Pelodiscus sinensis: one gene and its partners. The protein of the gene in region 2 interacts with the protein of the main gene of each other region in a biochemical or structural test. Links are inferred from orthologs where the notes say so. Each region holds a gene or a part of one and is shown on either strand. Other genes may lie near its edges.

The links.
Region 1: the proteins of NR0B2 (region 2) and RARA form a complex in vitro, tested with the Homo sapiens proteins (2 studies listed by BioGRID). The link is inferred for Pelodiscus sinensis from reciprocal best matches to the Homo sapiens genes NR0B2 and RARA.
Region 3: the proteins of NR0B2 (region 2) and ESRRG form a complex in vitro, tested with the Homo sapiens proteins (2 studies listed by BioGRID). The link is inferred for Pelodiscus sinensis from reciprocal best matches to the Homo sapiens genes NR0B2 and ESRRG.

The regions. Positions count from the first base shown.
Region 1 is NC_134739.1:10,843,074-10,852,913, reverse strand, and holds the start of RARA (retinoic acid receptor alpha), read left to right. Parts: upstream 1-6,020; 5' UTR 6,021-6,125; intron 6,126-9,840. Other genes in the region: CDC6 (cell division control protein 6 homolog), read left to right, coding at 30-170, 697-786. UniProt on the Homo sapiens protein: Receptor for retinoic acid. Retinoic acid receptors bind as heterodimers to their target response elements in response to their ligands, all-trans or 9-cis retinoic acid, and regulate gene expression in various biological processes.
Region 2 is NC_134735.1:2,377,766-2,387,998, reverse strand, and holds the start of NR0B2 (nuclear receptor subfamily 0 group B member 2), read left to right. Parts: upstream 1-6,455; 5' UTR 6,456-6,664; coding exon 6,665-7,208; intron 7,209-8,535; coding exon 8,536-8,816; 3' UTR 8,817-10,233. Other genes in the region: nuclear migration protein nudC, read right to left, coding at 450-527, 4,075-4,167. UniProt on the Homo sapiens protein: Transcriptional regulator that acts as a negative regulator of receptor-dependent signaling pathways. Specifically inhibits transactivation of the nuclear receptor with which it interacts.
Region 3 is NC_134713.1:150,704,871-150,714,953, reverse strand, and holds the start of ESRRG (estrogen-related receptor gamma), read left to right. Parts: upstream 1-5,970; 5' UTR 5,971-6,128; coding exon 6,129-6,184; intron 6,185-10,083. UniProt on the Homo sapiens protein: Orphan receptor that acts as a transcription activator in the absence of bound ligand. Binds specifically to an estrogen response element and activates reporter genes controlled by estrogen response elements.

The DNA of each region.
Region 1 (9,840 bases), on a different chromosome or scaffold from region 2:
ATAATGAGCGGTCCCTCTCTCCCTCCCAGCTGCACGAAGCCTACAGCAGAGTCTGCCGGCAGCAGCAGATGGCAGCAGTAGCCCAGTCCGAATGCCTCTCCCTTGCCACCCTCTTGGAATCCAGGGGCATCCTGACCCTGAAGAAGGCCAAGGAAGCCAGGCTCACAAAGGTATCCCCACAGCCCACACTGCTTTCTCCTCATGCACAGACTCCAAAAGGAGCTGAGATGGGGGTGGCTGTGGCACGCTGCCTTGGAGAAGAGCACTGGAAAAGGCAGGGTTAGCTGGGGAGCCAGCAGGCTCAAGGAGAACCCGAAGGAGCTGTGGACAGCAGGGGAGGGCTGCCCTGACTTTTCCAGTGGGCTCCAGAACTAGAAGGGCTCCCCGTGCCAGTGGCTCTGTGGTTGGGACCTTTTTAATTCCTGGAGAATCTGACGCTGGCCACGCTCCATCTGCAGCCTGCCTCTGAAAGCACCAGTGCTTTGCTCCGGTAGCAAGCCAGGTGCCCCAGTACGTGAGGGGCGTGCAGGTGAACAGGTATTATTGGCCAGCCACATGGGTCGTTCCTAGGTCTTTGCTCCTGCGTCAGTGGACCCTGTAATATCCTGTGAGGGTTTCGGTGGCCTGGGCTGTGCTCATGGGCTACTCCTCACGTTGGGCTGGGCTGTGTCATAAGGGGCCTCGTGTCTCCTCCAGGTTTCACTGAAGATAGAGGAGAGGGATGTGGAACATGCCCTTAAGGACGGCGTCTTGGTTGGAAACATCCTGGCCGGGGGGCGGCTCTAGCCTCCTCTACCTGGATGCCTCTCTTCAAAAGGATGTGGCTGTCTCTGTAGCTCAGCGAAACAACGGCCTGGGCTCCGTTGTCCGCGGTAACCACCTTCGCTGAAGGTCACGCTGAGCCAGGCAGCGGAGCGTTGAAAAGGATGAATTTGATCTGCCCTCACGTCTCGGCATCTTCGAAAGCGGCCTCGTCTTTGTTTTTAGCTGTATATTTGTTTTTAAACGTGCCGCCGGCTGCGGTGGCTAACGCCCTGTGCCTGGGCCATAGCCCACTTCACCCTCCTTGTGGTGGATTGCGAGTGGTTTGCGAACGGCTGCGGGCCCTATCCTGCTCCTCCTGGAGGCTGGCTGGCCGGCCTGCCCTCCTTTCCTCGCAACCTGCACGTACGCTGTCATGTTGCCGTTTTTAAACAGCTGGAGATCAAAGAGATGGTGCTCAGGCAGCAAGAGGCTGGAGAAACGAAACCATTAGCAGCATGAGCGGCTGCAGGAGGAAATGAGATGGCAGGCGCTGCACTCCCAGCCTGAGCGCCTTTGAAGTCTGGTTATTTCCGCGGAGCAGATGTCGCTCTTAGTGAGGCTTATTGTCTCTGGGGCTCGATCAGGGGTTCGCATGAAGCCCTAAGATCTGTGTCTCTTACCTTGCAAGCAGTGGATCTATTTATTCCTATTTGTCGGTGGCATTCTGGAGGAGTTAGGCCTCCTCCGAAAGGCTGGGCTTCCTCTCCCCGTTCCTGCACGCTAGAACTGAACAGGACATCTGCCCTATGATGCCGCCTGGCCTGCGGTTCCTCACCTCCCTCTGCTTTGGGTTTCAATTGGATTCTACTCTTTGATTCTACCCTGCTTTTTATCCGGGAGGAGTAACCCTCTTGAGAGATGAGGATGCAGCTGCCCTTGAAGCAAGCTTCCTCCAGCAGGGGGCGCTCCTGTAGCACCGTGAACCCTGCGGCTCTTGCAGGGACCAAGTTTGCGGAAGTTGGAGGAAGCCGCCTTGCGTGTGTGAGGCCAGCCAGTGTGGGGATCCAGGGCCACCCCTTCTTCAATCTATTTTTAAATGAAAAAGTTGCCTTTCCGGGTTGAAAACGACTTGGGGGTCTGCACCAAGTGTGATCAGTTTTAATGACCCTTCTGTGAGAATGTAGCAAAGACTAAGATGTGGGCCAATGCAGTGAATGCTTGGCATCTGTTATGTCCTTAACTTCTCTCTCCTCCCATGGCTCCTAGGTTAGAGCTGCCCTTGGACGGCAGGAGGTCTGTTCCGAAAGGCAAGTGCAAGGACATACCTCCACTGCGAGGCAGACTCAGCTGTATTTACAGGTTGGGAACCTATGATGTAAATAGATATTAAAGTCCTCTCTCTCTCTCTGACGTGTGGTGCTCTCTGACCAGCTTGACAGGTCCTTCCGCCTATCTTCCCCTGCTGCAGAGACATGACTACATTCTCTGCAGCTCATGTAACAACGTTCAAATATCTAAAAGGTACTACAAGGGGTGGGCTTAAAATCGTGCAAGGGGGGTTGAGTTCGGACATTAGGAAGTTTTTCCTACCTGGCAGAGAGGTTAAGCCCTGGAATAAATTGCCTAGGGAGGTTATGGAATCTCCATCATTGATTTATAACGGCAGGTTGTCACAAGCCAGGGGGTGAACTCGGATTCTCCACACCCACCACCGAGAGGGGTGAGTTCCTGCCCCTTGCGTGGCCAATGCGGCATGTGGAATAATCTCTAAATAACGTCTCTAAAGCCTGCTATCTGTGCAGCTGCACAAGCAACCCAGCTTCCTGGCTATGGGAACTCATCTAGCCACGTGCTACAGCGCATGCGTGGCACGGCTGACTTAGCCTAGGCATTAGCCTTCGCTGTCCCAGGTGAAGGCAGAGAGGGCAGGGGCCCAGAAGTTGAGTAAATGCAGGAGCCCTGTTCACCTGGCTCTGCTGTACTCCCCGCTCAGATTGCTGGGGGGGAGGGGCATACAGACAGCTACTTTCTCTTGTGGGGCTGGCGCCTACCTAGCTGTCACCCCTGTGCACAAAGCCAGTGGTCAAAGAGTTAATGGGCTGCTGGGGAAGATGAGCTGTGACCTAATACGAGGCAGGCTCAAGAACAGATGGGAGCCTTGATTTAAATTCCATTTTGCTGGCTGCTGAACCCTTGAGAGAGTTGTTCCTCCAGCTACCGCCTGGGCTGGGTCCAGTGCCAGCCGGGCTGAACTATTAGCACATTTTCCAAGATGCTGGCAGGGAGAAGGGGTCAGCCAGAGCCTCTATCACGGATACAGCCTTGTGGGCTGCTATTTCCTTGCCCTCCACAGCGCCCAGGGCTGCTTTGCTGCGCTGGCAAGCTGAAAGCAGATTTATTTTTAACCACCCCTGCTGCAGCCTCCCAGTAGGATCAGAGACTCGCTCCGCATCCTCTGCTGTCACGGCTGGTTGCTACCCAGGGCTAGAGAAGGCTCCAGCGCGCTTTCCCCTAGCGGGAAGGGCGCTTGCGGGACTCTGGGGCATGACTGCTCTCAGAAGAGGCAACAGCGCCTTACCACCTCCGATAGTTCCCGTCAGGCTGCACAGGGGGTGGTGCCCAGGTGCCATCAGATCTGTGTTGGCCTCATGGAGGGAATGGGGCCAGGATCAAACCCTTTGCATGGCGATTAAAGCCCAGTATGATCTGGCCTTCAACAGGCAGGCTGCAATCCCCTTGAGCAAGGACTTTGCTGCTGTTATGCTTCAAGGCTAGAGCTAGGCTCTTCCAGAGCAGGCCTGCACCTGTCAGCTGCCCCTGGGAGCAAGACGCCACGCCTCCACTACCACCAACACAGCTGCCTCTTTGCTTGCTCGCTCTCCCCAGGGAAGGCCAGGGAAGGGCAGAGGCCTGGCACTCATAGGGGCTGGCCCCACAGTCCAGGGGCCAGGCTGCAAGGCCCTGTGCTGGGTTTGAAGCTACTCAGGGGAAAGGAACTGGGAGGCAGAGACTGTCTGGGGAGGAATACGGGGCTGCTCACCTGCTGCTTGCCCCCTGCCTTGGGCTGGCAAAGTGCAGAGGCAGGAATCCAGACTGGATCTAGGGCCCAGCCTCAGTCATGCCTCTCAGCAGGCCCCGCTGCTGCCTGTCTGGGTGCAAAGTGGTCCCAGCCATTTGAATCAATTGTCCTCAGGGGGCTCACATCCCTCTGCCAGCCAGAATCTGAGCTGTCCTGCTATGTGGCTGTGACGGTGTGCTGGGGTCCCCCGTCTCCTGCACCCCCAAATGGCACGAACAGACTCCCCCAGCCAGTAGAATGGAGGTAGTTTATTGCTTCTCCAGGATACAGCACAGCACAGATGTCATCTGGTTACAGGAACTGGGGCTAAGAGGCCTCAGTGCCCCCCTTGAGATGGGGGAGTCCCAGCCCCCTCCCCAGCTCCTTCTCCCCTGCTTTCCAGACAGGAACTAACCACCTCTCCTCCAGCCCTGCCCCCAGCCAGGGCAGCATCCACCTTCCTTTGTTTCTCCCCATGGGGGGTGGCTGGTCAGACCAGTTTGGAGCCACCTTTGCATAATGACTCCCCCCTTCCCTGCTGGGTCTTGCTACAGACAGCAGAGGTCGCCCCAGCCCCAGCAAGTTACCCCCACTACCTCACAGTGGCATAGCCCCTGTACTGCCGCTGGCTCGTGGAGAGGGGAGGCTCTGGCTGGGCAGGGCAGTGCGGGTTGGCCCTGCCACAGGAGGGATGCTCTAGAAAAGCAGCGAGTCTGGCCCTGTGGTTGGACTTGGTCCCGCCTTGGCCTGGAGCACAGAGCTGCTGGCCCCTTTTCTCCCAGACAATGGCTGGCTGTAGGCAAAGGCCAGATCTGCGGTGCCTACGCAGGGCCCTGGGCCTAGCTTCACACAGCAGCGGGCTGCGCCCTGGCACTAGACCTCCCTTTGTGTTTTACAGGCGCTAATTGGGTCTGAATCAGGCGAGGCTGCTTTGATCTCTCAGCCATTTCCCACAAAACCCTCATCAGCGATTTCTAATGAGGGGGCCCCACCATCTCCTCTAGGCCTCTTCCACCCCCCATCCCTGCTTGTTAGGCACCGGCCCTGCTTGGCAATGCCGCTGGGGGACAGGCACTCCAGCGTGACACCAGGCTGGGTGCCAGGGAGTGTCGAGGGGTGCCCCCTTCCGGCCTGGCCACAGAGCACCCCTCTCCAGTGGGACTAGAACCCAGGCCCCTCGCAGGGTGCGGGCACAGCCTGTGCTACCTGCTGCCCTTTGGCCAGGGTTGGAATCCTGCTAACAATGCCCCTGAACCGGTTCAACCTGTCCGGTTGCGTCTGGAGAGTCCCAGGAGTCAGGGTGTTACTGCTGAGGCCTGGGGCCCAGTCCCATTTGGGTCATGACACTCTGAGTCCCACGCACCCTTCCTGCGCGCCTGGCGGCCGCACGCTGACTCTGTTCCGCCCCAGAGGTGGCTGCAGTACAGCAGCTGGCCCAAGATCCTTGTGCTTAGGGTGGAGCTGTGCAGCTTAGCAGCCTGGGCACCGGGAGCTGGCCTGCAGCCGTTTGCGGGACCGGTGGCGTGGTTGGCAGCGCGCTTTGGGCAGCGGAAGGAGCGAGAACCGCCCCCCCTCCCAGTGATGCCTTTGTCTGAGCAGGGCCACGGCCCCAAGCCGGGATGGGTGGCCTGCAGCTCCAGGGGATTCTCACCACCCTTTGGGCTGTCCTGTCATTTCCGGCGGGTTTGATTCCTGGCAGCAGCATCCGCGGTGCTCCAGGACAATTGCCGGGCCAGTGAAGTGAGGGAAAGCACCGGGCCGGCAGCCCAAGGGGAGGCCTTTGCTCCGTCCCTCCCAAGCACCCTGCCGCGCAGGGTCCAGGGTGGGGCGGCCGGGGGCTGGCTCGGAGCAGAAGCGTTTTAGGGAAACTTCCCTGCGAGTAGTTGTGGCATGAAACCCGCTGAAGTGCCAGTAAAACCCACCTCCCCCCTGCCCCCCCACACTTGGGGCAGCCAGCTTGGGAACATGCTGGGCCCCCAGGAGCCACCCCACGGGCGGAGAGGGGGCGGGAACGGGCTGGAAACAGGGGAAGAAGGGGGGGGTTGGTTTGGCTTCTTTAGCACCCGAAAGGCCCCGAGCCGGGTGGGGCCCAGGACTGCACGGGAGCCCCCCCCCCCCCCGGTCCGCGTGCACCGAGCGCGCTTGGCCGCAAGGCCCCCGCTGTGCTAGGGCGGCGCGGAGCCGGGCGGGCGCTAGGACCGGGCGCGGCCGGGCTCCTGTTGCAGCTGCAGACGGTGCTCACCCTCCCCCGGCAGCAGGGGAATCCTGGCTGCCGCTTTGCAGGGCTTCCCCCGGCCCCCGGCCCGGCCCCGCGCTCCGCCAGGTAAGAGCGGCCCCTGCCCCCTCCCGTGCAAATGCGCCACCAGATCCGCGCGGGCGGGGCGCCCTGCTGCGCCCCCCGGGGCACCCCCAGCCTGGCCGCGCTGGGGCAGCTGCTGCGGCGCCCCTGAGCCGTGCACGGGGGGGTTCGGACAGTGCCCCCCCCAGGCTGGGTTTGTCCCTGGGGGGGCCTTGTCCCTGCCCCCCCCGCCCCCCCGGCGCGGTGCAGACTCCCTGGCGTGCAGCGAGTTGCAAAGTGCAGCCGCGGGGAAGGGGAAGTGGGCGAGGCTGGGGCGAGCCGGCGGCCGGGCTGGGAGGCGGCCTTGGCTCCCCATGGGGAAGGGCTTCGGGGGGGAGCGGACCCGCCGAGGGCCCGGGCAGAGCGGGGCCTGGCTGCCGAGCCGGAGCACGAGCTGCTGGGAACTTTCCCCAAGTCCTGGGTCTCTCCAGGCCTGTGCCCAGCCCTGCGGGGGAGACATGAAAGGCAGGGACAGAGCCCTGGAGCCGAGGGATGTTAGTCACAGCTGGATCTGCCCCCCCCCCGCCCCCCCATGCCCTGTTTGGGCAGCTGAGCTTCCTGCTCCGAGCTGAGCCCAGCGCTGGGGCCACTTGCATCAGTCTCGCCAATGCGTGTAAAGACCCGCCTGCCCCCACTCCCAGAGGTGGCTGCATTTCGGCCAGTGACTCCTTGTGTGAGCTGGGGGAGGGGGGTTTCTCTCTGTGCCTCAGTTTCCCCAGTTTAATGGAGGATGTTTGCTGCAAAATCTGGAAGGCTTGACCTGGGAAGTGGGTAGTTCTACGGGGGGGGGGGGGGGGAATTTTCCCATTCGTTCAAAGAGCCCAAATAGGTTTTTCTGGGCAAGAAAAGGGATCAAACCCGCCTGGAAGAAAACTGCCCCGATCTGTGTGCCAAGGCCTCAGTGCGCTGCCCCCGGCCGGGGAGCCAGGCCGGCCCCGATCCTGCCGGGGTGGTGCCCGCGCAGGCCTGGTGTGCAGCAGGGAGCAGCTCCGTGCCTTGCTCGCTGTCGGGTGTTGTGGAATCCAGCGCTGGGCCGGGAAGCTGGCAGATTCCGATGGCGGCGGCTGGGCTCTGACCATGGAGCAAGTAGAAGGGGGCTGGTGAGACGTGGCCAGGGCCAGTTTTCGGGGTCCCCGGCACAGACGCCCAGCGGGGGGGAGTCGGGCCGCAGGCTCTGGTCTGTGTCAGAGGACGTCTGGCCAGGGAACGAGACTGACTGACTGTTCGCTAGTTGCATGGCTGCTGCTCCCAGGGCTGGGGGTCTGCTTGTGGCCCAAGCCCTTGGCAAGGGGCGGATGAGTTTGTCCCCTGCCAGGTTTTACAAAGAGAGGGGGCATTGCTTCAGTGTTCCGCATGGGGAAACTGAGGCAGGGGGCAGCGTGGACTTGCCTCAGATTACGCAGCCAGTCCCTGAAGGGACTGGAAACAGCCCAGGAGTCCTGACTCCAGTTGCATCCTGTCCAGCAGCCACCGGTGTGTTTCTCTGGCCCATGTCTACCCGCCGCAGCCCCCCGGCCTGCCGACAGGACTGGGGATCCGCTAGCACCTGCTCTGAAGGGATCTGTGCCCTGGGTGCCCTGCCAGGAGTTGCCAGCTGCTGTGCGCGCACCTGGGGCTGGGTCTCAGAGAGGCCTGGGCTGGGCAGCCAGCTGAGGCAGGTGGGGGGCTGGGTGCCTGCTGCCATCTCTGCCCTGTGATGCCCACCTGAGGACAGACGTCTCACGCCCCAGGGACCAGGCCTCGGGTCGGGGTGCAGCACTGGGTGCGGCTGGGGAGCACCTGGAGGTCCCCCCCATTTGGTGGGGGGAGGTTGCTGTGCTTGACGTGCAGCCTCCCAGCTCCCTGGCTGTCAGTTGTGGGATCTCCCCCCCCCCCCCCCCGCTCCCGTGTAATTATCTCGCGGCTCCGCAGGCTGCCGAGCGAATGTAGGTCATGCAGATGGGTGAGTCCTGCATTTCCATCAATTAGAGCGTGCAGGGGGACGGGGAGGCGTGCCACAGCCGCCCGGTGCGCCAAGGGGGGCTCAGGGCTGGCACCGGCCAATGCTTCTCGCCCACCCAAGGCTCCGACCCCATCTCTCCCTCCTGCGGCAGGGCTGGCTGGCTGGGGAGCCTGGGGGTAGCACGCAATGCGGGGGACCCTACCCAGCCATCTGGGGGCTAGCACCCTCCATGGGCTGACAGGACTGGGGTGGGGGTGCTGGCCACAGCTCAACAGCCCCCTCCTGGCTGGGCTAAGTACGAAGGGGGGGTTTGATCAGTTTTCGGGGTGGGGCAGGAGCATCTTCTGCCAAGACTTTAATTTGATCAGAGCTGGGAATGAGGATGCCAGCCAGTTTCAGGGGAGGAGGGCAGTGGGGGTCTAGTGGTTAGAGGGGGCTGGGAGCCAGGACTCTTCAGCCAGTGGCTCCTTGTGTGAGCTGGGGGTTCTCTTTTTGCCCCTTTCTGTGCCTCAGTTTCCCCAGCTGTTTAATGGGCAATTGGGAGAACGGCTTTGAGATCCTTGGCGAGGCTGCTAGAGGGAGTGCCATCTGTCTGGCAGGGTCGATCTGCCTGGCTGCCACCCCTCCCCATGGCAGCATAGGGGCCTGGTCTGGAAGCACAAACCTGCCAACAGCCTGCAAGGGGGGTCTCCTGAAAGTGCCCCCTGGCTCTGTCCCAGCATACCCAGTCCTGGTGCCCCTCGGTCCCGACCTGCAACCCCTGCTTCTCTTTCTTCCCCCTCAACCCTCTGGTACGATCTGCAGCAGTCAGGGTGGGGGCAGGAGGACTCGATTAGATTTGTGGGGGCTGGGGGGTGGGGCCTGTTAAAGCGGGGGGTGGGAGCTGGGAGTCAGGATGCCTGGGTTCTATTCCCAGCTCTGCCCTGGACTCGCTGCATGGTGCTGGGCGAATCGCTGTTCTGTGCCTCAGTTTCCCCACATGTAAGGAGGGAAATAACCTTGCTGTCATGGGGGTGGAGGCTTTGCTGTGGTTCCCCCATTGGCTGTGTCCCCACAGCACAGAGAAATGAGGTTACCTGCCCCCCCGCCTGTCCTCCCTCCCAAAGCTGGGCCAGCCCCTGCCGAGCTGCCTCTCTTCTCAGGGAGAGGGGGTGCCCCCCCCGACCCCACAGTGAGTCTCCCAGGCCCATTGCCCCTGAGCACGTCCTCCCCCACCCCCGTTCTCATTTCTCGTTCTCTGGCTGCACGGCCCATCGGGCGCCCGAGGGAGCTAATCGGATCTGACAGCTGAGAAATACCACGTTGGCTTTCAGGCCGAGAGTCGGGGAAGAGGGGGGTGCCAGCCGATCTTAAAGGGGCAGACAGGGTACATCTGGCTGCTGCTCACAGTAAAACCCTCCCCCTGCATCGGGGTGTGCTGAGGTAGGCAGGCGTTCGGAGCTGAGCACAGCAAGGCCTCTGCCATTCCTGCTGTCCAGCAGCAAGGAGTTCCACAGGCCACAGTGAGGCCCCATCCCTGTGGGGGCCCTGCACTAGGCTGGTAGCACTACGGTCCCATAGTCCTATGGGAGGAGGCACCAATCCAAGGGAACTGGGTATTAGCTGCTCTGCCCAGCACCAGCACCACTTCCCTGGTGCCCGTCTCACCCCCGAGCAGCAGGGAGTAGAATCCAGGAGTCTGAGCTACTCTGAGGTGCCCAAACCTGCCTGCTCTGCTCCCCAGGGGCCCTGCCAGGGGCCAGGTTTGGCAGGTCGGGC
Region 2 (10,233 bases):
CAGTCTCATAGCCTTCAGCTCAGAGACAAAGTGGCAGTTATGTGAGATGGACTTTGTGTTTTCTCTGAAATGAATAAACAAGGTAACCTGGGGTTATTAAACCTGCGGTGTCTGACCCAGTCAAATCAGTGCGTCTGGCAGGCATGCTTTCCAAACAAGCCTTTGGCCAGAGCATAGCCCAAAAAGCCTGTTACCACTGCTCAGTTGTGGATGGGGCAGTTTATTATGACCTTGTTTCCTTAGTATATTTCAGCAGCATCACAAAGTCAGGCCCACAGAGCAGTAAAAAATAATCAGATGGCAATAGGAAAGCACAGAGGCAAAGCAATAACTGGAAAATCTGAAGAACTCATTTCTGTGGTCCACTGAGTGTTCCCAGACAGAGAATAACTTGCTCTGGGGATGGACGAAATCAGTCATGAAGATTTGGAGGAGGGGAGGGGAGTTACCTTCTCTGCTACTCCCTCTTCTCCGCCGACGAAGAAGTCAGTTTTGCGTCTGAGGAAACTGAAGAACGTGTTCACAAGCTGAAAGACAAAAGACAAGGTAGTTTCAGGAGACCCAAAATAAAGTTTCAACCTACTCAAAAAAGCCAAGGAAGAAAAAAAACGCAAAATAACTTTATTTTTGGCCGGCCAGAATACTAAACTGCCACCTGATCAACAAGAGATGCTAGTTCCCATCCGTACTTCTCACCTCAGTAAGGAGAAATGTTTGATGTTATGTACTGAAATCCCTAGCCAAGTCTACCTGAAGACCTGTTAAAGCTTGGAATCAAACCCCTGTACCTATTTCTCAGATAAATAACAATTAGTGCATTGTGCAAAGCTATGCCTTCTGAGTTCTCTACCTTCAAGAGATTCTCATGAGATTATACAAGACTGAAATTCTTTTTGGTGTCCCCTTCCCTTGAAAGCATTATGACTACTATAGCTACAGTGTGGGTTTCTAGAATTAAAACTTTAAAATGCCTATGTGAGGATATTTTTTTAAATGTTCATCTCTCATAATCTTAGGTCTTTTGCTTATATGATAACCCAGTATTTTTCTTGCATGTACTAAGTCATTCCTCAGCTCTGAGCAACACTGTAGTAGCTGTAGGAGACCTTATGTTATCAAGTCTCTTTTATAAAAAAAAATTAGATCACAACACACTTAAATATGAAGAATTATAAGTTGACTATATTATAATAATACTAAAATAAGAAGTAAAGCACCTGTAATTCAGTATCCTAGACTTCGGTTTTCTTGGTTTATCTGTAAAATTCTGTAATTCACAATGGCCAACAATGCAAACTAGGGACTTAGTATCTACCACACTGGTTTAGTAAAGCCAGGCTTTTGCACAGCTGCAAGTAAAGTCTGGAGATCTGAGTTGTTACAATCCCTTATCACCTGTTCCTAAACTTAGTATCTCAGTATCACATTTTTTATTTAAAAAATTGTTCAATCTGCTGGATGAGAGAACTCTTAAGTATCCTCACTTTCAGGCCATCAACCAAGCAATGCTCTCAATATCCAAGGAAAAGATAAATGTGGTGTTGGACTGCTTTGGTCTATTTTAAGATTAATTTTCACTAGGACTCAACAGAAGCAGAGACAAGTAGCTGCTCTAATTATGGCACAGCTAAAGAATAGCATTTTGCAAATGGTCCAGAAGCATGGGAAGCAAAAGGGAATTGCTTCAATCAAACATTTGATGGAGAAGCAGACTAGATTGCCATGCTGAAACATATCTATTTCTAGTTGAAAATTCCTGGGAGGTGGGAGAGGAAAAGCAACTAGTACGCACTGAGACTAAATCGCTGCCCGCACCTCAGCTGGAGCTAGGTAAGAGTTTAAACAATTAACCGATAAGCTCATGCTTATTGGTTCATGTTACCATTTAAACTCTGCTAGGGAGCAGGAGTGGGCAGCAGGCAGCCTGGAGCTTGTGGTGCCAGCAGCCTGGGGAGCCCGTTTAATTGTAACTATAACCGATGGACTTTCTATCGATTACACAGTTAATTTTTTTTAAACATAGTTTACATCCTAGCTGGAAGCTGTGCTATGTCAGTGCTGCTGTTACGGACTAACCCAGTAACTCTTCTGATACATAGTATCTCTTAGGAGTCCTAGGACACCTTAAAGACTAACAAATTTGATTTGGGCACAAGCTTTCATGGGCAAAGACCCACTTCGTCAGTTGCATGTTGTTACTACTGTTTCCCTGACTGATGTAGGCAGGTACTTGATCCAGAAAGCCACAGTAACCCAACCATCCTATTTATTTTCCTAGGTCATTTGAAACATAACGTAAGTCCTTGCAACACTTTGAGACGAGTGCCAGTAACAAAATCTATCTATAGTGGCCAAGAAACTGCTAGTGTTTAAACAATTTTGCTTGCATCATGGTTGCAATGCTAGAAGCTGAGATTGGATGACAGGAGATGGATCACTTGGTAAGTTGCCTTGTTCTAATCACTCCCTTTGAAGTACCTGGCACCAGTCACTGTTAGAAGATGGAGCTACGGTTCCTTTAGCCTAGTATCCTGACTCAGGGTGGTCATTCTTATGGGTACAGCATATCAAGGATAGGACTCAATGACATGAGTGACAAACATAAATCAGCCATATAGGACGGGCTTGCCAAGTGGCGGCGAGCCTCGCTCACCAGCTGTGCGCTGCACATGCAGACCATGTGCTGACCGTGCTGTGCGGCCGTGCTGTGGCGAGTAGATTATGTTAATTGTCAAGCCCTGCATATAGGTACTAATATATGTAATGCAGTTGTAGCTGGGATAGTCATTAGAGCATTACAGAGACAAAGCAGGTGTGCTGATAGCTTTTAGTGGACTCTTAGAATCATTCCTGGACTTGTAAAAGAGTATGGCTCCAAAGCTGCTTCTCTCTCACTAAAAGAAGTTTGTCCAAGAAGAGATTACCTCACCCAACTTGTCTCTCTAATACGGATACTCAGTATTTTTTATATTACATTTATATTACATTTTTATATTACAATTTCAACAAAAAGGGGATGTAATATAAAAAGTAACACCAGTGTGGATTTGTTCATCTTGACTGTCTATAAGGGTTCATGTAGGTTAACAGCACCATATCAATCAACTATATATTGAGAGTATGTGTCTGTCTCAGAACTCCTCCTAAACGGTAAGAGCTAGGACTACCAAATTTGGTATACGGCTTCCTCATATCATAACTTAAAGCACAGTAAAAGTTTGGTTGTGCCAGGAAAATGGGATGGGCCTGGAATGGGGTAGCATCTCATAAAAACATACAGAAAAGAGACAAATCACCAGAAAAGTGAAAGAGGCTGGCTGGGGGCATTTGCCCTGTCCAGGATTGCCACAACACTGAGCCTCCCACCCCTCAGGCATCCTTTAGAGAGGATGGGAGGAAGGGGTGAACCACGTCCCCCAACTCATACGGGACAAGGGAATGAGAATGGTTAATCAATTCATTAGTGGGGGCCGGAGCTGTTCCTTGCCCACTACAGGCAGGGGCTGCTCCGTCCCAAGGAGCCCAGCACGGGTGGGGAGTGCTCCTACCCAGCAGGAGCAGCCCAGCGACAGAGAGCCCACCCTGGACATGCCACAGGGGCACCCAGGCCTGGCCAGAGCAGCCCCTGTTGGCGGCAGAGGAGCTGGAGCGCCCCCACCCCCACTGCCGGTTAACCGTTTAAACACAACGTTAGCCAATTACATGGGGTTTTACATCCTCACGTGCGGGACGTTGCCAGCTGCTTCCCTTGGTCAGGGAGCGGGGGGGGGGGGGCAGTTTGCTGCAGCCCGCCCCAGAGCACGCGCCCAGGCGCTGGCGGTGTCTCAGAGCCCCCCCAGGCCCACGCAGGCCCGGCACAGAGCAAGGGGGGGGACGGCCGGGAGCGGGCGTTACCAGCCCCCCCCCACGCAGGCCCGCCACAGAGCGGGGGGGGGGCGGCCGGGAGCGGCCGCCACCAGCCCCCCCCCCACGCAGGCCCGGCACAGAGCGGGGGGGGGGCGGCCGGGAGCGGGCGTTAACAGCCCCCCCCCCACGCAGGCCCGCCACAGAGCGGGGGGGGCGGCCGGGCGTTACCTCCCGCACGCCGCCCTGGTGCTGCTGGGCCATGGCCAGGAGCATCCCGTCGAAACGCTCCTCCTGCTCCGCCGCCTCCGCACTCGGCCCCATCCTTGCCCGCCGCCACCGCTGCTCCCGCGGCCTCAGACCCTCACACCGGAACCGGAAACCCAGCCACCGCCCGCCAGCCAATCCTCGCGCCCCACGGCCCCCTCCCCGCTCGCTGATTGGCTGGAGCCGCGTCCTGTCATCGGAAAGGAGGCGGGAGTTCCACGCCGGGTTCCGCGCGTGGCGTTGGTTTCTATGGTGACCGGCCGCGTCCGGGGCCTTCCAGAAAAATCGGCGAGGCCGCGTGGCCCCGAGTGGGTAGGGAGTCAAAGGTCAGGTGTTATGGGGCATATCCACGTGGGGTGGGAGCCCTAGGACGGGTTGGGGGGGGGGAGGCCTATATTGGGGTCAAAGGGCGCGATGCCTCGGAGGGGTCAAAGGGCAGGAACCACGTGCCTCAGTGATCAAAAGGGGGGGACCCTCGTGGGAGCCCATATTCTTGGGGGGGGCCTCTGCCAAGGGAAGGCTGTGGGGGGAGGGGCACCAGGCGTCCTGCCAGGCCTCTTGGGCAGGGTGGCCAGGCGTGGCACCAGGGCTTCTCAGTCGCCCTCGGCGCCGCCCGCGTGCAACCCCGGGCATCCCAACCACACCGGGGAAGCTGGCTCTCTGCCGCTTATGGGCACCCAGATGGCTGGGGCAGAGCCTGCCTGCGGCGGGCAGGAGGGAACATCCTGTCCTCCAGAATCACTGTGGAAAACACCAGCGGCAGCACACGGGCCCCAGCGGAGGCACCCACCTCAAGGGTCAAATGCGCTCACCATAGTCATTTAAGGCAATGATTCTTAACCCTTTCCATGCTGCTGCTGTTAGTAACCCTCCCTGGTCAATATCATGCAGAGAGACCAGTAACCTATTTAGATGAACCTATTCACATTACTAAAATTACACTGTTAACTACTGGGAGAAGGGATCTGGAAGCTAGTATTTTCCTAAGACTTTCCATAGTTGGGTGATCTCCACTGGGAACTTCTAGTGACTGAAAGTTCCACTTGGCGCTACACTGGGTTCGTTGATGTTTTCTGCTTCTTTCTAAACATGTAGGCTACGTCTAGACTGGCATGATTTTCCGGAAATGTTTTTAACGGAAAAGTTTTCAGTTAAAAGCATTTTCAGAAAAGAGCATCTAGATTGGCATGGATGCTTTTCCGCAAAAGCACTTTTTGCAGAAAAGCGTCCGTGCCAATCTAGACGCATTTTTCCGCAAAAAAGCCCCGATCGCCATTTTCATGATCGGGGCTTTTTTGTGGAAAACAAATCTGAGCTGTCTATACTGGCCCTTTTGCGCAATACTTTTGCGCAAAAGGACTTTTGCCTGAACGGGAGTCGCATAGTATTTCCGCAAGAAGCACTGATTTCTTACAGTAGGAAGTCAGTGCTGTTGCAGAAATTCAAGCGGCCAGTGTAGACGGCTGGCAAGTTTTTCCAGAAAAGCGGCTGATTTTCCGGAAAAACTGGCCAGTCTAGACACAGCCCTCTTGCCACCTGCTTTCCTCCCACTCATTAACTTGCCTTCCAGACAGCCTGGCTCTTCCTTCCTGCCTGTTCTTTAGAATCAGGCTCCATGATCCTGGAGGGGTAGGGGTTTCAACTAAGTGACTTCTTCCTGCCCTAGAAGTTCCTCTGAGTCACGACACTCCTTGAAGCATGAAGACATAAACATCCATGTATGAACAGTATGATGCATCTAACCTGTCTATAAAACTGATGAAATCTCCTAGGAAACAAGGCAAAAAGTAAAAAGGCCCCATACGTCCGTGTTTCCCCCCTCCCTAAAACACACAAGATACTTGAGGCCCCAGCCTCCATCTGCTGCCCTTTGTAGTTCATTAGGTTTTTTTTTTCTTTATCTGCAACAACAGCAGCCTGTTGTCAACAAGGTTAAACAAACAACCTGCTGATAAAATGACTTCCAGGTTGCTCTTTCCAAGGCCAGAGTTTACAGGCTGTTTTGCTACTGGTCTCTTGCTCCAGACAAGGTCTGTGTGTGTGTGTGAACTCTTTGGCAATGACACCTGTCATATAGCATTGCATGATTACACACCTGGGGCCTTGGTGCCATGGTACGGGCTGGGTTAATGACTTTGTTTATACTGTTGGGTAATCCAGATAAGAAAGCCACTCAATCTGCCATCCCATCCCATCCTCCTGGCCCTAACTGGCACTTTCATTGAGAAAACCTTTATCTGCACCAGTGGAAGCTCCACTTCCCCAGCCAATCAGTACTGAGTTGAGTTGTTTTTCAATGAACGGTGCTTAGTTAAAGAGAGGTCAAGGCTGCTAAGGGGGTGTTTCACTTAGAGTCTTATAAATAGAGCCAGGAATAACAGCCAAAGGTATAAGAGAGGTGACCGACCTGGGAGCAGCAGGCTGCAGTCAGAGAGCTTTGACTGATACAGCAGCCTTTGCAAGGGACCAGGCGTGCTCACAGATCCACCCAGCCAGGTGCACAAGAGTCTCATCCTCCTTGGGACCTGACGGGATCCACTGGCCAGGCTCAGCAATGACTACATGCAGCATGGATCTGGACTATGAGAAATGCCAGTGCCACAGTGAGGAGAACCAAAATGCCATCCTCTACGCCCTCTTGAGCCAGAACCTGAACCACAACTGGGGCAGCCACAGCCCATCCCAGCAGCGCTGCCTGTGCCAGAAGCGTCGCACCGTCAGCCTCCGGACACCTCAGCTCACCTGCCAGGCAGCCTCAGATGTCCTTGTGAAAACAGTCAGCTTCATGAAGAACCTTCCCTCCTTCCAGCTGCTGCCTCGGGGGGACCAGCTGCTGCTTCTGGACAGCTGCTGGGCTCCACTCTTTATTCTGGGGCTGGTTCAGGAGATGGTGACCTTTGAGGTGATGGAAACCCCAGCCCCGAGCATGCTCAAGAGGATCCTTCTCGATGGCCAAAGGAAGAGACAGGAGCCTGAGAGGGCACAGCCCACCTTAGCTGGCGTGAAGAGGCTACAGTGCTGCCTGAACACATTCTGGGGCCTGGACCTGAGCCCTAAGGAGTATGCCTATCTGAAAGGAGCCATTCTCTTTAACCCTGGTGAGTGCCGAACCCTCACACCCCTTTCTGTTGGCAGGGACAGATGGCACGTCACACAAGAGTATCTAGCAATGAATAGCTGTCCATCCATCCAGGGAGCTCAAAGCTCTTACAAGCTAAGGATATTAAATATCGGGTAATTGACTAATTGAACAGTCAATGCATTTTTGCATCAACTGTTCAATTAGTCGATAGGGTGCCTCTGCCTTTGAAGCGTAGCAACAGTCGTTGCTTAAATTTGACACTTTACGACTGGGCCTCAACAAAGATGCTAATTATCTTACCCATTACGAAGATAGCTTCCCCAATTATCCCCTCTAATATCATTAGCTCACAGACATTAACCTCCCGCCCTCATCCCCCTTCTGTTCTGAAATGTGATTTGTCCTTTCTATATGTGTTCGCTTTTTTTGATTGTATCCCTTTGGTATATATGGTCATGCCAATTTTCTTCCACAATTTGATCTGAGAAAGTGGGTCTGGCCCATGAAAGCTCATCACCTAATAAACCATCTTGTTAGTCTTTAAAGTGCTGCATGGTCCTGTCTTTTGTTTCAGCTAGACCAGACTAACACGGCTACATCTCTATTACTAAGCTGGATGTAGTATCCCTATTTTAAAGACAGGCCAACTGAGGCACAGAGCATTTTCAGGGCTAATTTTCAGCTGTGCTGAGCATCTCCAGTTCCCATTGACTTTTGGAATTCAGGCTGTTAGTGACTTGCCCCAGTTGGTCACTTGCTTTAACTCACAAACCTTGGAGTCAACTGTGCTGATAGGGGTGGCTTATTAGTTTCGCAGTCTCTCAAACCCTAACCAGGGTTGATTCAGTTCTTCCTCTTTTTGAAGCAAATAAACTAAGTCCTATATAGTTTATTGTGATGGAAGGGACTATTTTAATCAGATTTTAAAATTGCGGTCTTGCATACCCTTCAGCAAAAAGAGGATCTCAGAGCATGTTTTTCTAGAGCTGCATTTTGCCCGAGCTGTATTGGTCAATATTTTTCCTCCCTTGATGTGTTACACACTAATAATGAACTGCTGCTCTCCACCTCAGACGTGGCTACGTTTCAGAGATGCTGCATATCTATAGCTAGTACTTTGGGATCCTCATATACTATGAAATGTAAGGAAACATGTTTATTTATCTGCCTGTGCCGGTGTGCAGGCAGTAGAAAGAAATCAAATTTGATTGTGAATCACTAGCAATAGCGGTGAACAAGCCTTCAGCAGAGGCACATGCAGGATAAGAGCCTGGGCCTGGGGCATAGCTTGGGAAGCAGAGGCTAATTTTCATTTGTATTTCCTGTTGTTTCTCTTTCCATAGATGTCCCAGGTCTCAGAGCCTCTCTGTACATCGAGAGCCTCCAACGGGAAGCACAGCGAGCGCTCCGAGAAGTCCTAGTGCCCCTGCACCCAGAAGACCAGGGCCGCTTTGCCCGCATCTTGCTGATTGCCTCCACCTTGAGATCCATTCCTCCTGCACTTATCACAGACCTCTTCTTTCGACCCATCATTGGCAATGCAGACATTATTGAGGTGATCACAGAAATGCTGTATGAAATAACCAGCCGGCGACTGACTCTTTCGTCACACACAGCCTCTTGAGAGATCACATTCAGGGCCACCCTCACATGCGCCTCCTGAGCACTGAGTTGAGTTTCAAGGGACAATAACATTAATATGATGTGGGGATTTGGTGGGAAAGATACTGTGGACTTTCAAACACACCTGGTTTTGTGTGTGTATTTCACTTGGGCTCAGGCAACAGCTTCAGCAGTTGAAAAGTGCAGCTAAGCCACATTCTAGAACATAGCTCTTATTTATTCAGCCCCTGTACAAACTGAACTCATAAAGCCAAATCATTTCTGAAGTGTGTGTGATTTTACTATTTCACTGCACAGTAAAGTAGAAAAAAAAGCATGGCCAATGTCCTTGAAACAGTCCTTGCAAAATAAACCTCTGGGCTGACATTTTCCCTAGGAAATATGCAGATCAGAGAAGCACTTCTTTGAGAAAGGAGGAGATTGAAGCCAGGGCTTTGTACAGAATGGAGTTTCCCAGTTTTACATGATAAAATTTCCAGAGAAAGACTCTGTTACATACACACACACACTCACAATCTGATTTTTAGATGGGCTCAGCACTCAGTCAGCCTTTTAGATGTTGCTCAGCACCTCTGAAAACAGGCCTGCAATAAATGATGGCTGTGTCTACACTGGCAAGTTATTCCGGAAAATCAGCCGCTTGAATTTCCGGAAAAGCACTGACGATCTAATGTAAAATCATCAGTGCTTTTCCGGAAAAACTATGCTGCTCCTGTTCGAGCAAAAGTCTTTTTCCGGAAAACAGTTCCGGAAAAGGGCCAGTGTAGACAGCACAGTAGTGTTTTCCGCAAAAAAGCCCCGATCGCGAAAATGACGATCGGGGCTTTTTTGTGGAAAAGCGCATCTAGATTGGCCACGGACGCTTTTCCGGAAAAAGTGCTTTTCCGGAAAAGCGTCCTGCCAATCTAGACACTTTTCCGCAAAAACTTTTAACGGAAAACTTTTCCGTTAAAAGCATTTTCGGAAATTCATGCCAGTGTAGACGTAGCCAAAGTGTTGGATTAGAGCTCCATATTTTGTGATTCAGGGTCAAATCCCAACCCCACTGAAGTCTATGGTAGTTCTGCCATTGATTTCACCCTCACAGACTATTCATACATCGGGGCCTAGTTCTGCAATCTTTAGTCACGCTGACCAGTACTTGACTTGAATGGAATTAAGGATGCCAGATAGTTTAAAAAAAATACCGAACATGGTAGGAAACATTTGGTTGAGCAAAAAAAACCCGGACACCTGGCAACCCTAAACAGAATCACTCATACAATGCTACCTAGTGCTGTGGAATCGGGCTTTTACATAGTACCTGCATGTCTGTGTTGCATGACCAGGTTATTAAGTGTCCTGGAGTCTTAAGGAAGTAGCCATTACACATCTATCCCTGTTTCAAACACTGACAGGCAAGGGCTGCACAATATTAA
Region 3 (10,083 bases), on a different chromosome or scaffold from region 2:
AAATCTCTTCAGTTGCCCGTTCCCTGGGTGTCGCAATAGATTAAGTCGCTGTGTGATTATATGACACCGCCATCACTTGTCTTCCTGGGATATTGCTGGAGGCAACAACAAACCTGTGTCTTTGGCACATGTGAAGGAATTTAGCGCTTGAGGGGTTAAATTACACAGGCTCCCCTGTGGATCAGCTTATGCTTGGACAGTAATAATAGCAATAACATTAATAATAAAAATGCCAGAGCAAAGGGAGTGGAGGGGGAGTAGAGGGGAAAAAAAGAAAGAAGAGTGATGGAAGATAGGCTGGGATAGTCAGCAAAGAAAAAAACAAAACCGAAAAAACCACAGAAAAACAACCCATCCAATCTGCAGATAATGTGTTTTTGTATGGCAGGTGTATCAGCCAGAAGTCAGATTTCATAGGGACACCTGCAACATGCACATGCACAAACACATATTACAATAGCTTTGAGGATGGTTAGTAGCTTGTGTGTGTGTGTGCGCGCACACAGTCACTTCAAGCCATGATATCCTAGGGCAGTTGTAACAAGCAATTCATGTCAGCTCACGGTAAAGATTATTGGTGTTTTTACTGTGGAAATATTTGCACTCCATCTTCTTTTCTATTTTTAGCTCCCGGAGCTTCCAATCAGGTGGTAGACCAGAAAAAAACCCACCCCCCACTGCCAACCCATCAGATCTTGCACCTCAATTAGTCTGAACTGAAACCCTAATCTCACTTAGGAATGGCCTTTGATGCTAAGTTTTTCTTCGTTGCCTCCTTGTTTTGTGGGATACTATATTTCATGAAGGTTGCAGAGGAGAAGGAAAGACAGAATTTCTTTTCTTGTTGTTTTGTTCTGAGGGAAAACATATTTTTGTGGAAAAAAGTGTTTTCTCAGATATAAAACGTTCGACAAATAAAAGGGAATTCAAAAGCAGAATAATGTGGGCCCTTCTTTTTTTAATTCTTGCATGAAAATGCCACTATCACAATAAAGAACAGCAATTCATTGCTTTAGAAAAAAGCAATATGAATTTGTCCTCTCTCAGATTTATTGTTTATCATAATCATCTTTCTAGTGAAAAGGGCTAATTTACTCTTTCTATAGGAATATTTTAAGTGTGATTATCATAATACCACATCTGCTGAAAAGGTCTAAAATAGGACATTGACCTTGAATGTGTTTCTGCATTTAACATGTGGTGCTTAACATTCAGGAAACAATATAACTGCAACTCATTTATTAATGTATAATCTCAAAATGTTAACTCTTGCTCTGTAAATACGTGACATAAGGATTGCTGAAAGCTTGCAGTGTCCCATGAAGTACATGCGGTATTTTATCAGTGTAAATATGTATAAGATTTTCAAGATTTCTGCTGGGAATACTCTGTAACTAAAGTAAGTTTTCCCTTTGGTACTGCACTAGTTTATGATTTAATTTTTACTGACATTCCACCAGTCATATTATTAGCTTCACAAAATGAAAGTGAAATAATCCTGTATTAATTAAACAGAGCAACTGAATTCCCTCAGTCATTTTATCCTTGGCTGTCTGAGACAGTAACACATTACTGCTTCTCTGAAGAAACTTACACTAGGGTAAGAGCCCGGTGTAATCGAAAAATATCAATATTGGAGTGGACACTTCATTTCTCTCTAATGAGAATAGCCTTTTTTTGAGTGTTGGGCAATGGGTAGGCACTTTTTTTAAGGCTCTGTAAAGGGTGTTTTTTATTCAGCAGAACAATTTTCACTTACAACAGTAGGAAAAGGTTCTATTCTGTAGCAGTGAAGGCAGTTATTTAAAAATTAACGTCTGTGTTCTTGAAAATAAAGGAAATAGAAAATATGGAGTGTATTGCTAAGATCAGGTGACTTGAATATACTTTGATAATATGGCAAAGTGTTTGCTGTGATTTCTTAGAGAAGATATGTCATCTGCTAAAACCGAATTTTTAAACTAACAAACAGCCCTCAGCTTTGTGTGTAGAACAATTCCTGTTTTGTGATGAAGTTCTAAAGAACATGTTGAGGTAGTGTTGGGTTTTTTTTTTGTGTAGGATCAAAGCAGGGAGTGATTAATACTAAATACAGATCGAAGAAGCAGATGGTTCTAAAGTAGTTACCTGCTACCATTTGCCTAACCATTTAAAAACAGGTGAACAAAATTTGCAACTCATTTTAGTGAAAAGATTTTTCTCTACATTAACAGTGTGCCCATAGATTCACTGCATCCCTTCTAATAAGAAGCACTAAAGGCAAACTCCAAAACCAAACCAGTTATGTGTCTAGGAGGAAGGAGACAGCAGCAGAGCAATTTTAATGAAATTAGCATGAATAGCATGAAACAAATTTAAATTGTGTTTTTTATTTGACACTAGCTCACCTAGTTACCTGGCAGAGTGGCAAATAAACATTAATTTGGTCCTCTCATAGTTCCTCTCAAACAACGAGTGATACTCCAACATTTAATTAAAACTTTATTGAAAATCTCATAGCCCATATGTAGGTTTTGCTGAGGTGGGAAACAGCCTTCTTAAATATAATAGGTTCAGAAAAAGTATTTATTTAAAAATAAATAATCTCTGAGCAGACGCTGGAATTAATAATGTTTTTGACCCCTTCCCAAATGTATTTTGGTCTCTTTTAAGCAAATATGTTCTTGTCATAATATACTATGCTGCTTCTGTAAAGTGCCACTGAATCTTCACTTCTTCGGTTGCCTTGAGGTAGATGTGATTTAGGAATCTGGCTCCTTGGATGCCTTGAAATGTCGATTGCATTTAAGTGTGAAGATGCTTAAAGATGTACTGTTCTTACATTTGGTAATTATATGCATGGAGATGTGTGGAGATGCAGACACTGCACAGTAATTCTCATTGACTGCTGCGGACACTTGTGACTGTTTCCTTCCCCCCAATCCCCACACACACATACCCTTTTTTTTGGTTCCATTTCTACTATGTTTTGTATACTCTTCATGGTAAGATTTTTTGTGTGTGTGTACATGTGCATTTTTAATCCATATCCTTTACGGAAGTTCTATAAACCAAAATCTACCTTGATTTTATGTTCTCCCCAGGGCTTTTTATTTATTTAAAATGTGGCACAAGAAGGTTTATTGAGAACTTTTACTACAGTTATCTGCTGTAGAAGCTTTAAAAAAAAAAAGCGCTGAACAGTAACTGGGAAACCCATGTTCAAAACTGTAGATGAATTTCAGTAGTGGAACTAGTTGGAATTCCAGACCCTGGTCTGGTAGAGGTGACACTTTCAGTCCCAGCGGAGGAATCCAACTGCTTTGTTTATCAACACATAAAGTATAGCACTGTGTTTCTGGTCATCTAAGGAGCAGCACAGCAGTGAAGGCAGCTGCTTGCCTGGATGAAAGATGGTTGGTGGAAAGATAGTGATGGTTAATAGGGGGAGAGAAAGATTGGATAGGGAGGGAAAGCTAAGGGGTAGTGAAAACTATGTGGACACGAAAAGGATGGAAGACAGACCACAAGAGAAGGCAATAGACTGTCAGATTTTCAGCAGCTGAGTATAAATATACAGTCTAAAAGATAATGAACAAAAGTAAACATGAGGTAAATTTTGGTTTGATAAGGTTTTAAATGGCTTAATAATCCTATTTCAAATTATATATGTTCTAGGAAATAATGATTTAAAAATGACCTGTATCAAATGACTCATGTGTGGGTGTGTGTATCTCCAACACGGATCATTTTTTAATAAAAAACACACAGGTACAGAGTCTGAAGGAATTTCAAGCCCTAATGTCCGTATAGTTAGAAAATAGCTATTTTAAGAGTATGTATATCTATTTAAAGTTATACATTTAAACTAAAGATGTTTATTAGTTTATATGTTGCTGGAGATGTGCATGAATAAACCAGTTAGTGGGATTTTTACTTTGGATTTATATGGAAATCAAGAAATCAAGTATAGAATAAATATTTAATTTTCAAGTGTTGATCTGATTCCCACAACCACAGCATTTCTTTTTCTCTGTATTTTTTTAAGGAAGGGTTTTTAATTCCGTAAAATGATTAAATGTATCTTGTTTTAAGGTTTGATTAAAAACTAATCTTTTTTTTTGTCTGTATGGTGTGTCTAAAGGATGCTTGGGCTTTACATCTCAGAGCTCTTCTAATGCACTTCTCACAACCAAATTTACATCTTAATTACAGAGTTCACATTTAACAATATAGACAGCATAATGCTACTGGTAATTAAGCTTTTACTACCTGCTTTTATTCAGTAGTTAGAGCTATAGTTTTGCTGTGTTGGTTCTGATCCTTAAACTTGCATGTATTAATGCTTAATATGTAAGGAACAGGCCTATCCTTTGCATCTGGTTGAATACATTACACTGGAAATCACTGTCTAACATAAAGAGCTTTAAACATGTCCATTTCATTTTTTTTCAATTAATTTCTGGGGTTTCTTTTCCCCAAAAGCTGTGTAATAGATTTGAAGAAGACATTTGTATTCCCATTTGTGAATGGTATTAATGCATTCTGAGGGTTGCACTGATTTGTTTTGATCTTGAAAGATTGTCATTTGCATCATGTAGGGCTCCAGTCACAAAAGATTTGTGCTCACTAGAGCTGAATTATAAAAAATTGTGGGTCCTCCACTCTTAAGAAGGTAGCAGTTATCTCCTTGTCATAAATAGCTGATATTTATTTCCACCGCAACTTGGTAGAAAAAATTCTTTCTCTGCTACCAGAAAATGTATATTTTAGTTGTAATGTTAATAATAAGCTGTAGATTTTGAGGGAAATGTATCATACCCCCTTTTAAAATTGGTGTTTTCAGTGTAAACTGTGTCTGATTTTGCGTATGATCACTTTCTTAAAATTGGTTTATTCAATGAATTTTATTTAATAAGGTATATCAGTGTGAATTATAAAAGCCAGTGGTTTGGAGCAATTGGGTTCAAAGATGATTATGTAGGCATATATACAAGTAATGGATTTGATATATTTACTTCCAGTTTGTTAAAATTTTCTTTAAACAGTAAATTAAAAAACTGCAGGGGTATTCATTCAGACATACCACAATGTAGTCTGATCTTATTAAAATGAAACAGACTGAGTTGAGTCCATTATAATCCCTCCACAGTTACAGAAGAAATTAGTCAGTGCTGGAGCTTTCCCTTCTGTTTATGAACATGCAGATATGTGCATTTATGGCTAATGTGTTAAGTATGCCATATTAACATGGATCTGATATATGTATGTGTACACATATGTGCTCATAACAATGCGTGCATCTGTGCTGTTGAAACAAATGCATTTTTAAAATATTAGTTTTTCTGTTAAGTTGGTATCGATTTTCAGTTCTAAATATTCTTTTTTTAAATAAAACTGACAACACAAACTTACAGTTAAAATGACAATGCAGATCTTTAGAACAGTTAATTTTGAGCTTAGTTTCTTAGTACATACCAGAAAATTTAGAAGATAAAAAAATCATTTTTGCATGAAAAAAGCAAAAACACTTAAACCCTCTTCCCCTCCCCCAAGCAAAATCCTCCCAAATAACAACAATGGAATAAACAGACAATAGCAGCACAAACTTAGTTCTCTACCTTATGATGAATTCTTCACAACATTAACTGAGAGTCTGCATGTATTTCTTCCATTCAAGGTACTTGACTAATAGTGTTTTAAGTTACAGAAAACATCTAGTGCCTAGAGAGTTATGCTAATTAGGTTTTCTTTGTAGCCCCTTAGAAAAATATTGGTAACATTTACATTTCTTTTTATTAAGTCCCTACTCTGTTTTCAGTCTCTTTCAGTTTCTCCACCCCTCTGTACCTGCCTGGCTTTTCTCAATCTGTGCAGTCTCTGTTCTCCTCACATCTGATTGGCTAATGTGCTACCAATCCAGTATCTGTCTGGGCCAGTGGGACTGCATATGTAAAGCCCTACTTCATATTAATAAGCTCCAATCGGGGCTTTAAGTCCTTGATTAGGAGACTGTGAGAGCTTTTGGTCCCAACTGGCTGTGCCTATAGGCTTGTCACCAGGAGAACATTTGTGTTAATTGCACTGTGCTCTGTCAAGGAAACTTTGATTTATTGCTGGGGTGCACAAATAATGGTTGCCGAGCGCACATGGATTCGGTAGAACTTTGTCTTCCTGAATCTTTTTCCCTTCACTACGAAGAAGAGTAGGTATCTTTCTTCCTTTCTTTTTTTAACCTTTTTTTTTAATGAAAATAATGTAAACATTGATTCAGGTAGTGCTGTGTGGCTTGTGTGTGCATGAACGGTTATTTGTGTCTGTCTTGTCTTTTTTGTGCTGAGGATGATCTGCTAATTCAGTAAGTGGAGAATTGTTCTCTGACTACAATGTTACCTTTGAGTCAAAGCCCTGTGACTGTCAGTAAAACAGCTGTGTGACAGTCACTTCTTATTCAGGTACTAATAATAGGCACTTGGCACAAATGCTTAGTGAATTGTTAAAACATGCCTTGCAGTAGGACACATTTTCCCAGGGAAAGGATTTAAAATAATGTATTATACAAATGATTTACACTAGTGCCTTTCTTGTGTATATGCGGTTTGATAGATATTCTGGTCTCCCTGTCATTTTTGACTGTGCAGAGTTAGCCGGGAAAATAACTGCTAATACCTCTTTAAGGATGAATATTCACAATTAGCCTTCTGCAATTCAGGTCTAAAATGCTGTTCAACCAGCACTTCTTCACTGACATATCAGTCTACTGAATAACAAGGGAATTCTGTGCTTTTTAATAAAGGAGAAGAAAATATTAAGGAAGAAAAGAACCAAACTGACTTTAATATTTTGTACTTTAATAGAGAACTGATATAATGAAGTACATTTGTTCCCATTAGCCTGTAGCTTGTTTCATTGTGTTGGTTTGTCCCTGCAAAAGACAATAAACTACTTTTTTAATATATGATTTTATATAGTTGTTTCAGCTGTACCTATTAACTACCTAGTTTTGTATATATGCAGGTATAAATACTTGGACTCTCTGAGATCAAAAGCAGAAAACCCAAACAAAATCCAGCATGCTAGTGGTGATGAGTGGCTCATAAACTTGATTTCAACCTATAGTCAGGATTAAATATTAGTATATCATGGGAGCTGTCATTGATTCATTTTTCTTTATGTCGAGCCAGTTATTTTGCTGGGCTTTCCTATTACACTAGCAATGAATGTTGTAATACTGAAGAAAAATGCTAATAGTAAGTACATCCCTAGATGCACTGGGTAGGGAGGCTGTATAGAGAGGTGACAGTGTATTATAGGTAGATGCCCACTAGCTGTCCTTAGTGTCTGCATATTGCATAGCTATTTGTAATTAAGCCAGAGATGGAAAGTGACTTACAGTGACTGTATGTTTGTGATATAACATAGGAGTTAAAGAGAACAGCAGGAAATAGACTTGCCATTAGGAAAACAGTTTGAAGTAAGAGAGGGAAGAACCCCCTTTAAAACTGAAGGGGTAAAGAGATGAAAATAAACAAAGATAGGTTGCCCACTAAGATATGGTTTATAGGTCAGTGCTCCATGAACTGCAGTAAATTGTCTTCACATATGAATAAATGCAATGTTCACAGCTTTCACTTAATATTTTAATTTTTCCCTAGAAAATAAGGGTTTAAAAAAAATTAAAGGTAGGAAGAGGTTCTCTTTGAAAGGAGCTTTCCTGAATTTACCTTCTTACAGCTAATTTGAATGATTAGTTTAGATAAGCCTCTTAAAGTAGATGCATTTAAATGAAATCAGGGCACATGTCTTTTTGGCTCTGGTGCAAGATTTAAACTAATTCTCCTCCCCCCCCCCCCCTTTGGCTCAACTAAAAGTCTTCTTAAAACAATCCAATTTACTTTCCGGATGTAGGCTGTGTTGGGTGCGTGGTTGAGTGGACAGACAGAAATATCTAATATTCAGAAACACATCTGTGACTCTGTCTCAATTAATAAACACCAAAACTATCAATATTCATAGTAATTGCATTTTGTCTGTAAGCTGTCATGTCCATATGCATAAGGACCTACAGAGAATGCTATATAAGTGAATGAAGCATTTCCAGAAGTGGATAATTTCTACAGTTAATTATTGCGTAGAGGAGGATCCCAGCTAAAAATTGACAGAACATTTTGGGACATCTGCCTGACCGTCGCTAGGTATGCTTTGATTTTTTAAGGCAGAGCATGTTAAAGAATGCAATCACTTACAGCCATTTACAGCCTTGGTTTTTGCTTTACAAAAGTAACAATAATTCTAATATTTAATAATAATAGTTAATAACCTAACAGATGCAATAAATATATCTGCTCATTTTGACATATGTGTCAGTTTAATCATTCTAAATGAATCGTGCTCATAACATGAAATCTCCTTCAACCTCTGATTAAAATGTAACATTGACTACAGGATTATAGAGCTGACTTAATTTTACTGACTGTTTTAACAGTTGTCACAGCTGTTGGAAGAAGGAAAGGCAATTGAAATACTCCAAAGAAGGGGAGGAGGGGGAGGAACTAGTTTAGTAAATTTAAACATGATCTCTGAATGCCAAACATAGAAAACTGAATAGATTTGTGACTGCAGATAGCTTCTGTGCAGTGTGTACATTTGCCCTTTGTGCTTCATTCTATTTGTTTCATGAATTTGAACCCCTCGACCCCTTCCCTACTTTCCCCATTCAAAAAATATGCAAAAGAATTTAATGAAAAAGAAACAAATGTTCCTGTTACAATGTTGCATGCATTTGTATTTGATCTATAGTATGAGAAATAAAATGCACAGATTATGACAGGAAAACTCAAATAAGATAAGTGAAATTTAGATAAAGAAATGGACCTATAATGGAGTTACATACAGTAGAAAAAATACTTTGATGCGATGACAGTGTACATATATTTCATATTATTTTTTAAACAATATCATGCCCTAATCTTGGTATTGTTTGTATGTTTACTTATATATAATGAGAGAGGGAATTTGTCTTAGTTTCATTCTTCCCCTATCAAAATATTTTGATATAGCTCTTAGTTACAAATAATTTGATCTGGAAAAAAAAGCAATCTATGAAGGTGGAGAAAAGGTGGGCTTATAGAACATTGCTTTACCAGTTAGTGGGAAGTGACAACTGACTTCACTCTACAGTTGCTTTCTTTGACGTGGAGGTTTGAACCTCACATATTACAGGTGTGTGTTATCTTGACCCTTTTAAAAAATAAAGCAAGCAGTTAGCATTCTGGTCCCAAACCAATAAGGTCTAAGTTCCCCTGCCAAGCACAAAATGTAGAACCAACCTTTCTGCTATGAAATAAGCCTCAAAGTGTGTTTGAATGAATAGATTCCTTGTATGGTCTCTCCTTGGACAGCAAGAGGGCCTTCCTCCCTGTGTCTGTTTTTTTTTCTTTTTTAAGTTTTGTTTTTGTTTTTCATAGACTTTTTTTTGGCAAGTTTTCAAATCCTGCAGAAAGTGTAAAGGGCTTGCTTTGAAATGGCTCTTTGACAGCTTTCCATTTACTGAGGCTGGCCCCTCTTTTAGTGATGGTTGCTCATTTTAATGTGTTTATGGTTGTGCTCTTTTATTTACTGAGCCTGGTGCGTTGCAGTGGTAATTAACCCATGTTATTAGCAAAGCCCTTGTGGATATCCATTAATTCTCTTGAATGGCTGATAATTTTTTCTACTCTTTTTTTTTCTTTCATGGCATGGTGTCCTTTTTTTTTTTTTTGAAGAGCCCTATATAAAGCCCTAAACCTTTTATAGATTTGTTTCTCTAAAGCTCAGACATATAGAAAGCTCTGGACCTATAATTCTCCACTAAAGAACACCTCCACTCTTGGCAAAGTGTTTTCAAAAATGCTAATGGGAGTGGAAGCAATAGAGAGAAGCAATAGCAATTATTTAATTATTATTTTCAAAAACACATGCCAACAACAAAGCGTAGGGCTAGCCTTTACTTCCTGGAGCTGCGTTAGACTGTTGTGACAGTTCAGGTGCTGGTTTTGTTGTTTTAATCAGATTTCAACTTAGCTAATAGCACTTTGGGCATTTAAAAGAAAATATTGAGCCAGC